Linked DNA regions of Macaca mulatta. The protein of the gene in region 3 interacts with the protein of the main gene of each other region in a biochemical or structural test. Links are inferred from orthologs where the notes say so. Each region holds a gene or a part of one and is shown on either strand. Other genes may lie near its edges.

Evidence for each region.
Region 1: the proteins of RAP1A (region 3) and RAPGEF2 form a complex in vitro, tested with the Homo sapiens proteins (2 studies listed by BioGRID and IntAct, with this or other methods). The link is inferred for Macaca mulatta from reciprocal best matches to the Homo sapiens genes RAP1A and RAPGEF2.
Region 2: of the proteins of RAP1A (region 3) and RAPGEF5, one has a biochemical effect on the other in vitro, tested with the Homo sapiens proteins (2 studies listed by BioGRID). The link is inferred for Macaca mulatta from reciprocal best matches to the Homo sapiens genes RAP1A and RAPGEF5.

What each region holds. Positions count from the first base shown.
Region 1 is NC_133410.1:167,886,483-167,890,457, reverse strand, and holds part of RAPGEF2 (rap guanine nucleotide exchange factor 2), read right to left. Parts: coding exon 3,921-3,975; intron 2,974-3,920; coding exon 2,762-2,973; intron 2,672-2,761; coding exon 2,548-2,671; intron 1,917-2,547; coding exon 1,893-1,916; intron 842-1,892; coding exon 618-841; intron 1-617. UniProt on the Homo sapiens protein: Functions as a guanine nucleotide exchange factor (GEF), which activates Rap and Ras family of small GTPases by exchanging bound GDP for free GTP in a cAMP-dependent manner.
Region 2 is NC_133408.1:106,155,042-106,159,016, reverse strand, and holds part of RAPGEF5 (rap guanine nucleotide exchange factor 5), read right to left. Parts: intron 2,619-3,975; coding exon 2,496-2,618; intron 846-2,495; coding exon 667-845; intron 1-666. UniProt on the Homo sapiens protein: Guanine nucleotide exchange factor (GEF) for RAP1A, RAP2A and MRAS/M-Ras-GTP. Its association with MRAS inhibits Rap1 activation.
Region 3 is NC_133406.1:128,545,593-128,550,013, forward strand, and holds the start of RAP1A (ras-related protein Rap-1A), read right to left. Parts: upstream 3,081-4,421; 5' UTR 3,054-3,080; coding exon 2,997-3,053; intron 1-2,996. UniProt on the Homo sapiens protein: Counteracts the mitogenic function of Ras, at least partly because it can interact with Ras GAPs and RAF in a competitive manner. Together with ITGB1BP1, regulates KRIT1 localization to microtubules and membranes.

The DNA.
Region 1 (3,975 bases), on a different chromosome or scaffold from region 3:
AAATCCTATAGCAGACATCTTCAAATCTGCACATAAAAGACACAGGAGTGTATTGAATGGAAAATGCCTTTGTCAAGATGCAGATTTAGCAAAAAAAAACTGCCCCATTTATAGACTAACCCGATTTTTAATGGCTATTGTAGTTCATTGTGGAGCAGAATTATTGCTCTAACTGGTAGGTGAATTTCTTGTTGGGTGTTGTCTGGGCTAGTGGTTAAAAGGCAGCCAGCACACTCAACTTTATGCCCCGACTCCCCTCAGGGTGCCCATAATTTGGGGGCACCTTTCTGAGAACACAAGACACATAATTGGGAGCCATATCTACATATGCGCCCCTTGCATGTGTACTGGCTGTGTCCAGGTGAAACTAAAGCAACGGGTTGCCCTAGATGTGGACAGTGTCATCCTCCACACACTAACCCAGCTGACCTGAGGGCCTGGCCGCGCACAGTGCTATCCAGTATTCAATATTAGCATTCAAGGGAAGGACTAGTATATCTCATGATTGCCAGCTCCCCCTCTGCACTAAGCCTTATTTTGTCACTGCCCATATCACTGTACAGGAAACAAATCTGCATTCTAGCCAAAGTCGGCAGCCACTTTAAGGAAAAACTCACATGTGTTGGTTGCTGGCTCACACTGCAGAGATAATGTCTGAAGACTCTCCTCGTCCATTTCTAGCTCCAAATTGGAAAGGTACTGCTTCACTTTTCGAGCCATTTGGGCATCTTCATAAAGCTTTTTGGCATTGAGAAAGGAACTACGACGTACCCGCTTTTTATGACCACCTGTCTGAGCAACATCTAGCACTGTTGCGTTTGTACTACCCTGGCTGAGAGACCTGGAAGATGAAAAGGTAGATATGCAGCTCACTCTAGCATGGGAGTACTTTATCTATTTAAAACGTGCCAAGACTGATATTAATATTCTATGTTCAAAAGGTCACATGCTTCATTCCAGTGAGTAAACTGTTACACAGGAATATAGAATAATATAGATTAAAAAAATTTAGTTAAAAGAAAATTATACATAATATACATATAAAAATATATGTTTGGCACCTGTTCAGTTCGAACTAGGAAATTCTACTTTTCACCTCTATAGAGCATTTAAGGCAGTTCTCTCACAGATGCCAGAAAATAATAATTACATATAAAAGCTCATGCAAGAATACACAGCTATAATCATTAAGATTTGCAACATTAAGATTACTTCCCCTAAAGAGGATATTATATATATATTTAAATAAAATTAACTACAATGTTCACAATTGTCTTCTTATTCCTTGAGTTGAATGTAGTGAGTTTTTAAAGTAATACGGTCAATCTGTTAATAAAACAATCATGCAAATGTAAACATGTATGTATGGAAACTATTGAGCACATGAATTGTTAAGAATTATTTTTAAAAAGGATTGGTTTATACAGAATGAAAATAGTAGTTAGTTGAGCTGTAAAAAATTTGGGTTTAACACCTGGGGGCACCTATTTTATATTAAAAATATTTATTTCTCACATATCTGTGAAATATTTTAATTGTACAATTTTTCCTTCTAATATCCTTCCTCCCCTCCCCCTACTTTGAGCTTTCCGCATTTCAAGACACACCAATTATATTAAAATAAAATCTTTCTAAGAGTTCAGAAAAACTGGCCTATAGTTCCCCAGAACAGTCATCAATCATTTCACAGCTCTCATGGATCATGACTTCAAAAGCAAAAGCCCCAACAGATTAAACTTGAAGTCAGTTTGCCGTCTGAAATTCTGCTACAGCAAGAGGGTTAAGGAAAAAAATGCAAAAATGCAAAGCATCAGAAAATACAGCAGGTAAGAAAACAATACAATGAGCAGAATAAGGACTGTGTGTGGGTATGCAAGGTCTCCACCACTTACCCCAAACTCCGCCATTTCTTCTTCCTGTAAGTGAGAGCCATGGAGATTGAAGCATGGGTGTAGAAAGAGAGACAGAAAGATCACAAGCTCAGAAAGAAAGGACTAGACTTCTGGATAAGCAGTTCTAGAAGCCCACAAACATTAAACTGCATAATCACCTCACACACGCAACTTTACTAGAAATATTTTTCTAGCTTAAAAGACAAATATATTTAAATTTTTTGTTCTAGAATTAAGACCGACTTTTCTCTCTTTCACTGAATTAATCACTTTTTACTACACTGCTAGCTAAATCTGTTGTGTGGATATTAAGACAAGACTATTTCGGATATTTACATATTTTAGTTCATACTACTAGTTATGAGTTTTAGCTCTACAAGTCAGTGTTCTGAGAAATAAGAAATACATAATTGTGACTATTACACTGAAAATATCTGAAGGACAAACTGTTTTTACTGACAGCCAAAAGAACACTTTATAAGGAATAAGACATTTATTCCAAATTAGAGCTCACAGGTGATTCTCAGCACATCCTACTATAATTTCTGCCGTAGGACAAATGTAAATACTCAAACTTTTAAAAAATCATTTATTGGGAAGCTCTAAATTTAACCTTCTCTACTCTCACACGTGGCACTGAAGATGACATACTCACCGAGTCCTGAACATGAGGGCTGGGTCCATGTTCACTGAAGCCATTCGGCCAACGTGACGAATTTCTTTTGCGATCATCCTTAACTTCTCAAAATTGACCAGCCCGTCTACTTTTGAGTCATTTCCTGAAATTGACAGAGAAGAAAAAGGAAATCACATGGCATTTATTCTGTGCTTCTCCAAGCAAAGATGGAAACCCTCTGCCTTATGTTTACCTTCGTGAAGGAAGGTGAGATCCTTCTTGATAACTGGAAACAGAGGGATTATGGGTGGTTGTAGGTTTTGACTATTGAGAACATTGCGATATTTCGCCATGTTTCTGGAAGGATCAAACAGGTCTTGGAGATCTTGAAATAGTTTTTCGTATTTATTGGGAAGTTTCTCCCAGGTTGTTCGCAGTCTTGCCACTGGTGCCAGGTTTAGGCCACTGAGAGGAGAAAAAGAAATGTGATATAACAACTAAAGTAAAATAGTGTACAGATTATTTATTGACACATAACACCTCCTTGTTTATGCTTTATATGCAAAACAATTTACAGAAGGCTGCATAAGAAACTGTTGATGATAATTCTGGGGAATGAGATGGCACAGGGAAGTAGGGTCAGGGTCAAGCCAAGGCGTTTTACTCTCCTCTTCCCTATAGACCCTCCTCATCTGTTTACTATCAGCAAAACCACCTGAATATAAGTATTGATGCTTTGTATCCATACATAGCAGTATGTATACATACCAGTGCTTAGCCCATAGCGGCCTTTTGATAAAACCGACTGAGCAAATATCCTCTAGTAATAAAATAAGCTATGATAGTAATGAGAGTATGACTAAACTCCCAGACAGAGAAAATGACTCATTTAATAATCACCCTCAATAGCAACATAACTAATTGTTGCCATTTTTTTTTTCTTCTAACCTCAATCTAAGCTCTTAAAAAAAGGGAAGAAAATTAACATTTCCTGGCCAACTGCTTTGTGCTATTTGATGGAACTCCGCATACATGATATCATTAATCTTGTTGATAACTCTTTGGGGTATTGTTATTTCCACAGAAAAGTAAACTGATATTGAGAAAAGTTGAAACAAACTTAAAAAAAAAAAAAGTGGGGGATATAGATTTTCGGAGCTCCAAATCAGAACTTCAGATGCTACCAAAATGTTTCCTGCCTAATGGCTTCTTCGAATCTCTTCAGGTTGGCACAGCTGGTTTTGTTGGTACGAGAGATTTTCAATTAAGGTTAGGATTCAGAGAAAAAGAATTGTCCCTTATGAGTCAATTAAAATCTACTGCATTTATACTAATTATACGATGTTCCTGGACTGATACATATTTTAAATCTGTGAACTGAACTGAATCTTAAGAAAAATGTGTTCTCTTACCTAATGATTGCAAACATTGAGTTAAAATTCTTGCATTCCCTACAGTGCAGTGCTA
Region 2 (3,975 bases), on a different chromosome or scaffold from region 3:
GAAGTAGTACCCCTGCATTTGAAAATCAGGGGTAACTTCAGGAAGGAAGTAATACTTGACTGAGGTCTTGAAGAATGGCAGCAATTTGCTGAATGCCAGTGGCCATTCTTCGCAAAGCCGACAAGTATTCACACTTGGAAGATGGTGCTCATGGGAGAGACAGACATTTAGAGTGGCTAGAGCATGGGGTGCACCCGGGGGTGAGGCTCAGGGGGTGGGGCCAGCCAGTGCAGGGCCTTTGAATGAACGAGTTCTCAAAAGTTCATACTGTGGGCCTCAAGGAGCAATGAACGGGTCCTACAATGCACCTGACGTGCAATGATTCCCACTTCTGCACATCATCATCTCCTTTTTTCTAGCCTCCTGTAGCTCACCCAGGCACCCTGCAGTTCAGCTGCAAGACGAAGGATGTGTGTACTGCCTGCTTACTAGTGCTGAGGCAGAGGGCATAGTGCTTCTGTCTGATATTTTGACATTTACTTTAAGGTATAAATACTTGAAATGCAAAGACATAAATATTCAAAAATGGACCTTTTCAGCCATTTGGTCATTTAACTCCATATTACATGTTTATATCCCAACCCTTATCACCATAAGACAAAAAGAAAAACAATGTGCTCTCTCAAGGAGACTAGAGGAATGGCACTTCTCACACTAGAAACTTACTGAGCCGCAATTTTGATGAATTTTTTCACCAGCTGCACTCGCTTGCCCAGCTGGCTGCAGAGGAGAATCTCCGTGGCCACCCAGAGCTGGACCTCATTGCATCTCTGGAGCAGAAGGCTGAGGTTTGCAGTGTGTTCCCCACTTCCCTGTCTGCTGAATGTGAAGTAGATCAGCTCTTGCTGAAAGAAAATGTATTCATGCCAGGGTTTATTTATAGCAAAGTACAGTTGATACAAAATTCGGTCAAATTTTAAGAGCTACTTCAGGTAGTCCCTCCCATATTATTAATATGCTAACGGAGAATATGGCGAACAGTAATATATTAAATTCAAAACGACTCAGTTTTAGAGGTGCCTCATTCAATAATGCTTTTTGTGATTTTTGTGTTTTATATAAGTGATTTTTCAGAATGTAAGGAAGACATCTTTATATACAAATCTAAGATATTCTGAAGTTTAAATCATAGGATAAATGGAATCCCCAAATTTCCGAACCTTGTCCTGTTGAAAAATTCAAGTGAAAATGAACACTAGTACTACCAGTATTTGTTAAGGTGCACATCAGACCCTCACAGGTCTGTTCTCTAAGACAGTGGTCCTCAAATTTTGGTGTGAATCAGGATCACCTGGAGGACTGCTGAAGCACAGACTGCTGGATCCCACCCCTAGAACCTCTGATCCTGCAGGGGTGTGGAGGGGCCGGAAATCTGCATTTCTAACAAGTACCCAAGTCCCGCTGATGATGCTGGTCTGAGTATCTGCTCTTTAAAAACCACTGATGTAAAACATTGTCAAACCATAAATGGAAAGAGAATGAGATTAGGGCAAGGTCTAATAATTTATGAAAGCAAACAAGACCAGTAACTATTTATATAGATGGATCATGTGCAAAGCAATAGATTTGTTTTTAAATGTGTATGTGTGCGTGTGTGTGTGTTTTACAGAGGTAATCTACATTCTTCCACTGCATAAGCAGGGATATATCCTAGTCTACTAACATTTCCAAAGACACAAGTCATTTAGCCTGAAGGAATTCACTACTTGCTCACATTCTGATCACAATATTGAAATCTGTTTAATGAGAAAATACGAGGACATTTGGGTCTCTAAATTGGGCGTGAGGTTCCTTCTTCAGAAGGAAAGGCCACTTCAGAATGAAAAATTTTACTACATGGCAAAACAAATGCAACATATGGTTGCAGAGGCCTCTACCATTTTTCATCTCTTGATTCCCGTGAGCGTTTCCTCTGGCCAAATGTACTCAAGAATTGTCGCTAGCATTTTGCTCCCAATCTATCGTTTTAAAAATGTCATAATCTGTCCTTAAGTGAAAAACTGATGGACATAAAAACTTGAAATATATCTAAAATTTTCAATAAAGTACTTTAAATCTTACAATGCAGTCTAAACTTGTAGAATGTTCTTAAGTTAAAAGATGCATATGTGTGTACATAAATAAATATGAATATGATTCTTGTACAACTATCATAAACTTCATGGAAAAAATAAAGCTATCAATATCAAAGGTGAAATGGTTAATCAACCCCATTAGAGCCTAATCTCCAAATACATATATATATATTTATACATGTGAAATATAGCATATTTATACATTACACAAGCATATGCTCACACTCGGAACAAATAAAAGCATGCTTGCATATTCTGATTTTTTTAGACTTGCGTCAGTCTTTCAATATATTTAAAGTCCCCAAGTATCTTTTGGACCATGTTATTCTAGTATAATTTCATCACCGCATGCACTGATATTCTGCACAAAGAATTCACAGTCAAAACAGCATTTGTATTTTCTTTTCACTCCTCACGTACCTCGTGAATTGAATTGAATAGACTCCAATCAAAATTCATTAATTCCAGAGCAAGATCCCAAGTGTTCATTCCCAAAATCCTCATCGACCTTTGCTGTGATTCCTCATTTTCTGCAAACGGGTTCTAAACCGACAGAAGCAAAAAGATCCTTAGTAATTCCCAAATGTTTTGCACTGCATTGGCTGGCTGTAGAAAGGCACTAGAAACCCAGATTAGCAAAGTAATCTTTTCTGAGTGCACTTAATATTTTCCCTGGTCTGTTCGCCTTCAGTGAGTTACAGCCAATTTAGGAAACGGTCTTGCAAATAGTAGAACGTGATCAATGATACTTCAGTGAGTTCGCCCACTCCTCCCCCATCTCTCTCCCCCGCCCCCACGTGCACACATGCACGCACAAATCTGATTATAAAACACTGCCCTGGCAGACAGCATAATGAAAGCGAAAGCCCCGAAATCACTTTGGCTTCTGGTAAGAATTAATGTGCCAGCAGGGTTAGTATAAAAACAAACAAAAGAAATGTCATGGTGCACTTCAATAAAGACAGACATGGCGTTTACAGGAAATATGTTTAGCAAGTCTCATCCCAGACACACATTTACACATTTTATTAAAATGCCCATGAAAAGTAAAAAAACAAATTTAACATGAAATAAAAATTATTTCATTTATATCCCATGGTGGATTATTATTTTAAGCATCAACCACTTTCCCTATGTAAATAGGGCCTAACCTCTACGAGGCTGGTAACAGTATTTCCTTAAGATATGGCATAAAAGTATTAGATGCCATCACAACTTTCAATCTATTTCACCACTAAAGTTATTAAAAAGATTATTTGGCATGTTTCCAAAATAGTTGATGTTTTCTAATGAAAATATAAATTCTCCCATTTGAAGGGTTAGATTTGAATAATAACTTTAAAACAAACAGAAGGAACCTTCCAACAATAAATGGCATGGTAGGATAAAGGGAATATTCCAGCTGCCAAATATTAATCCATATTTCTAAACTGAAAAATAAATTATTTGCATTTTAGAAGTTTTACATTGATGAAAATTTTTCCTATTTTTTTTTTTTTTTAAAACCTAGGCCGGGCACAGTGGCTCAAGCCTGTAATCCCAGCACTTTGGGAGGCCGAGACGGGCGGATCATGAGGTCAGGAGATCGAGACCATCCTGGCTAACACGGTGAAACCCCGTCTCTACTAAAAAAAATACAAAAAACTAGCCAGGCGAGGTGGCGGGCGCCTGTAGTCCCAGCTACTCGGGAGGCTGAGGCAGGAGAATGGCGTGAACCCGGGAGGCGGAGCTTGCAGTGAGCCCAGATCGTGTCACTGCACTCCAGCCTGGGCGACAGAGCGAGACTCCATCTCAAAAAAAAAAAAAAAAACAAAAAAAAACCTAATGACTGAAGATCTTCACAGAGCTTTCCCACAGACTCAGTCCTCTCAGCAGCAGGTCAAGGTTCACTTTGTCTCTG
Region 3 (4,421 bases):
GGTAGGCAGATCACGAGGTCAGGAGATTAAGACCATGCTGAAACCCCGTCTCTACTAAAAAATACAAAAGGCCGGGCGCGGTGGCTCAAGCCTGTAATCCCAGCACTTTGGGAGGCCGAGACGGGCGGATCACGAGATCAGGAGATCGAGACCACCTGGCTAACACGGTGAAACCCCGTCTCTACTAAAAAATACAAAAAAAACTAGCCGGGCGAGGTGGCGGGCGCCTGTAGTCCCAGCTACTCCAGAGGCTGAGGCAGGAGAATGGCGTAAATTCAGGAGGCGGAGCTTGCAGTGAGCTGAGATCCGGCCACTGCACTCCAGCCTGGGCGACAGAGCGAGACTCTGTCTCAAAAAAAAAAAAAAAAAAAAAAAAAAATTAGCTGGGCGCAGTGGTGAGAGCCTGTAGTCCCAGCTACTCGGGAGGCTGAGGCAGGAGAATGGCGTCAACCCGGGAGGCGGAGCCTGCAGTGAGCCGCGATCTCGCCACTGCACTCCCGCCTGGGCGGAAAAAAGAAAAAAAGGCAGTCTAATATGGCTTCCTAATATGCTTTAGGCTAGAACAGAGGTTCTCAAAATACGGTCCAAGACAGAGGCTCCCCAAGGCCAAACTATCTTCCTAACAATACTAAGATGTACTCTTCTTCTTCTCTCATAAGTTTACAGTGGAATCTTCCAAAGTAGAACATTTGCTATTCCAAGAGACTGGATACAGAAGCAGGCATAAGAGCCCATGTGCCTTCTATAAACCAGACATTAATAAGACTTGCACAAATGCAAAACAATCCAACACTTCTCATTTCTTTCTTACTAAAAGTAATGTTTTACTACTCCTCTGAAACTTATCCTCTGTCTTAATTTTCAGGGACATCTCATTCATTGATTCACATAGATTATAATTTTATTCCTCAGGTTTTTGTACTGGATCATCTCTTTTCCTCTCTTGTATCCTCATTTTCCTCTCCAGTGGAGAGGAATTGCCCCAGCATACAAATATGCTTTACTATCTCCAATTCTAAAACAAAAACAAAAACCTCCCTTAACCCCAATATCTCTCCAGCTTCTGCCCCCATTCTCTGTCTCCTCTTATAATCAAGCTTCTTCAAATGTCTATATTCCATTTCCTCAGCTCTCATTTGCTCTTCAACCCACCCCACTATGCTTATGGCAACATGACCTGACTAAAGCTGCTTTCTTTACCATGTCCCACTACCTCTATGCTCTCTGATCATCTCTTTCCTCTTTTTTACTTGACTTTTGAGCAATCAAGTAAAGACACCTTCTATGCTAGATCCTCCAATCCTACCCACTTCCTAAAGGTTGAGAGGTACTCAGAGCTCAGTACTGGGCTCTGCTCTTCTCTCTCTAGTATCTCCCTAGACCTCTTTCACTCCTGTGGATTTTTTTCCAAAATTATTTCTGAAAAGGTGATTCATGGACATAGCACTAAATTCAAAAGGCATAAAAGGCTATGCAGTGAACTAAGCTTATCTACCACCCTTGTTCCCAGCTATCCAGTCCCACTCCCAAGAAAGTAACTGATATTACCCATAGCTTATTTAACCTTGCAGAGATACTCTATGATTTTACAGCTATCTGCCCTCAGCCTACACTTTTTTTAATATAAAACACAAATTATAGTCTACACTGTTTAGTACCTTTTTTCTCTGTAATACATCTTGGATATCATTACATATTGGTATATATAGAGCTATTGCATTCTTTCTAATGGCTGTATTCTACTCTGAAAATGTATTAAAATTTACTTAACTAGCCCCTTAATGGAACACATTTAGGTTGTTTCCAGACTCTGGTCACTTGGTCACTGTAAAGAATGTTGCAATGTTCCCTGACCACGCCATTTTGCACATGTGAACTTATATGTGGGCTACATTTTTAGAAAAGGAATCTTTGAATTGAAAGTTATATGCCATTAAAAATGACAGATATTCTCAAACATTCTCGACAAAGGCACTAATTTACACACCTAACAGTAATGTAACTCTCATGAAATTAAATATCATCACCATATTGATGGCACCCAAAGTCATATCACCGGTCTCTCTCTTTTATTACTTCAACATGTCACAAACATAAAATCTGGCTTGACTCTTTGATTTGGACTCTCACTGCTCATTCTCCACTGTTTCCCTTCTTTTTTTAATCCATCCATAATAGTAGCTCAAACTAGAAACCTGGGAGCCATCCTTGACAGCTCCTTCTCTCCTAGTCCCCGTATCAATCTAGCACCAACTTACGTCAGTTCTACCACTTACTCAATCCTCAAACATCTACTTCTCTTCTCTCTTCTTCACTGCCATGGTTTTAATCCAAGGTTCCATAAACAATGATCTGGTATACTGTATTAACTCCCAATTTGTCTCCCACATCCACTCTGCCTTTCTTCTAAATTAATCCGTATTTTTTTTTCAGAGTATCTCTCTCACAAGTATAACCAAGGAGTTCTTTGTTTAATTGTGTATTTATCACATCTCCTCCACTACAATGCAAGCTCCATGAGAAACTATGACTGTTTTTGTTCACTCCTGTGACCCTAGAATCTGACATTGTAGAAGCTCAGTAACTATTTACTAAATAAAAACAGCATGAACACAAAAAATGACCTTCATTCCATGTAAGTCTAGAGTGGAAGCAGGTGAGGAATTATCCCAATAGAATCTGTAATAATCAGTTTCCCCCACTACAATGTAAATTCCTTAAAAATGAGAACAATCTTACTCCTCTCTGAATCATAAACACTGGTGCTTGCCATGTAAGACAGTCAATAAATAATTGATAAATGTAAGAATAAATGAGCCAACATTATAAAAGTGTATATCTGTGGTTATTAAATGATTTCCCGTCCTTTGTGGGGCAGATACCAGATATATAATAATGCCACTTTTTCTCTTTGGTGTCTAGAAGTCTGAAAGCAAGGAAATATCAAAATTCTTCTTGTATTATACTAATCAGTTACAGTTAGGTGGCTAACTTACCAGAGCAGACTTCCCAACGCCTCCTGAACCAAGGACCACTAGCTTGTACTCACGCATGATGTGATCTGTTTAAATACTGACGATCTGAAAAACAAACAAACAAAAAAATCAAAGATTAAGAAACATACTAACAGCCTAATAACGTACAACTGCTACATCAAATATAGGAGTTTGTTTTGTTTTTTCCTTGTAAGACTATCAAATGGACAACAGAAGCTACATGGCAAAAATCCATACAGATTTTAACATAAGTTTATAGGATTACTTTCAGACATTTTAATTCACTGAAGATCATCTTTGACTAGGCATCAATTATGTTCATATTACTTCTAAGAATCTTTGATTAAAAACAAGATGATTAAATCCAACAGTTGATAATCTTATGACTACAATGATAAACCTAATTCTTTGCAAAGCTATCATTTAAACAACTTATGTACTTTTAAAAAATATTCACTCATGAGCTTTAATATAATGTACAGGCTATTTTACTTGCTTAAAATATTCTACAGTAATTCTACACTATTTTGTTCATTATTGTATTATAGCTGAACCATTTAAAGTGTCATCTTGAAAATAATTAAAGATGTGAACAAGAGATCAGATGAAATTGCTAAACACTATAGGCAGTTATTAGCAATACACGACATAAGGCCCAAATGGCCAGAGAAAATAAAAGGAACATAAACTTTATTTTTTATCTCCATGGTTATCTTAAAAGGTATAAAGACAGGAAATAATTTTCAATGGCCATGGTGGAATAACTAGAAACAGACTTTTCAACTCACAATAACAGCCAGAACAGTGAACAAAAAAATATAAAACTCTTTTTAGATATTGGATAACAAGCAGTGTAGGACTGTGATTTCTGAGATGCAAAAGAAATGAAGTGAGACCTAACCTGCCCTGGCTTTCTGCCTAGAGGCACTTTTCAGACTATGGTGAAGGGAGAAAGAACTCAAGCAGAGCTTAGAAGTGTGCCAGAGAAGTGGAAGCTAAGCATATAAAATTCCAGAAATCGGCATAAGGATTCACTTGAGTCTGGCTAAGCACTAAGCCCAGCACACAGACTAACTTCAAAAAGTAAGGCAAAGAATAAATAGAGATTTACAGGTGGAACAATTCCCAGAGTCATATGGTTCTGACTAGAAGTCTTCCTTGTTGAAAAACTAAGAATTCACTAGAAACCTCAAAAGACTCTTATCTTAGTAGCAGAGCTAAATAAGCTCTAGAGTAAATGATATTCTAGATGCTTCCTAACAAAGCTTAAAACAAGGCTCAAAAGGATGGAGTTGGTCCATGTGTAACTCAACCACTTGTCTAAACAAAGTCCAAGATTCTTTAAAAGAAGCAGAAAAAAAAATTCCACCACTCAATCATATAAAATTAACAATGTCCAGTATCCAATAAAAAATTAATAGAAAC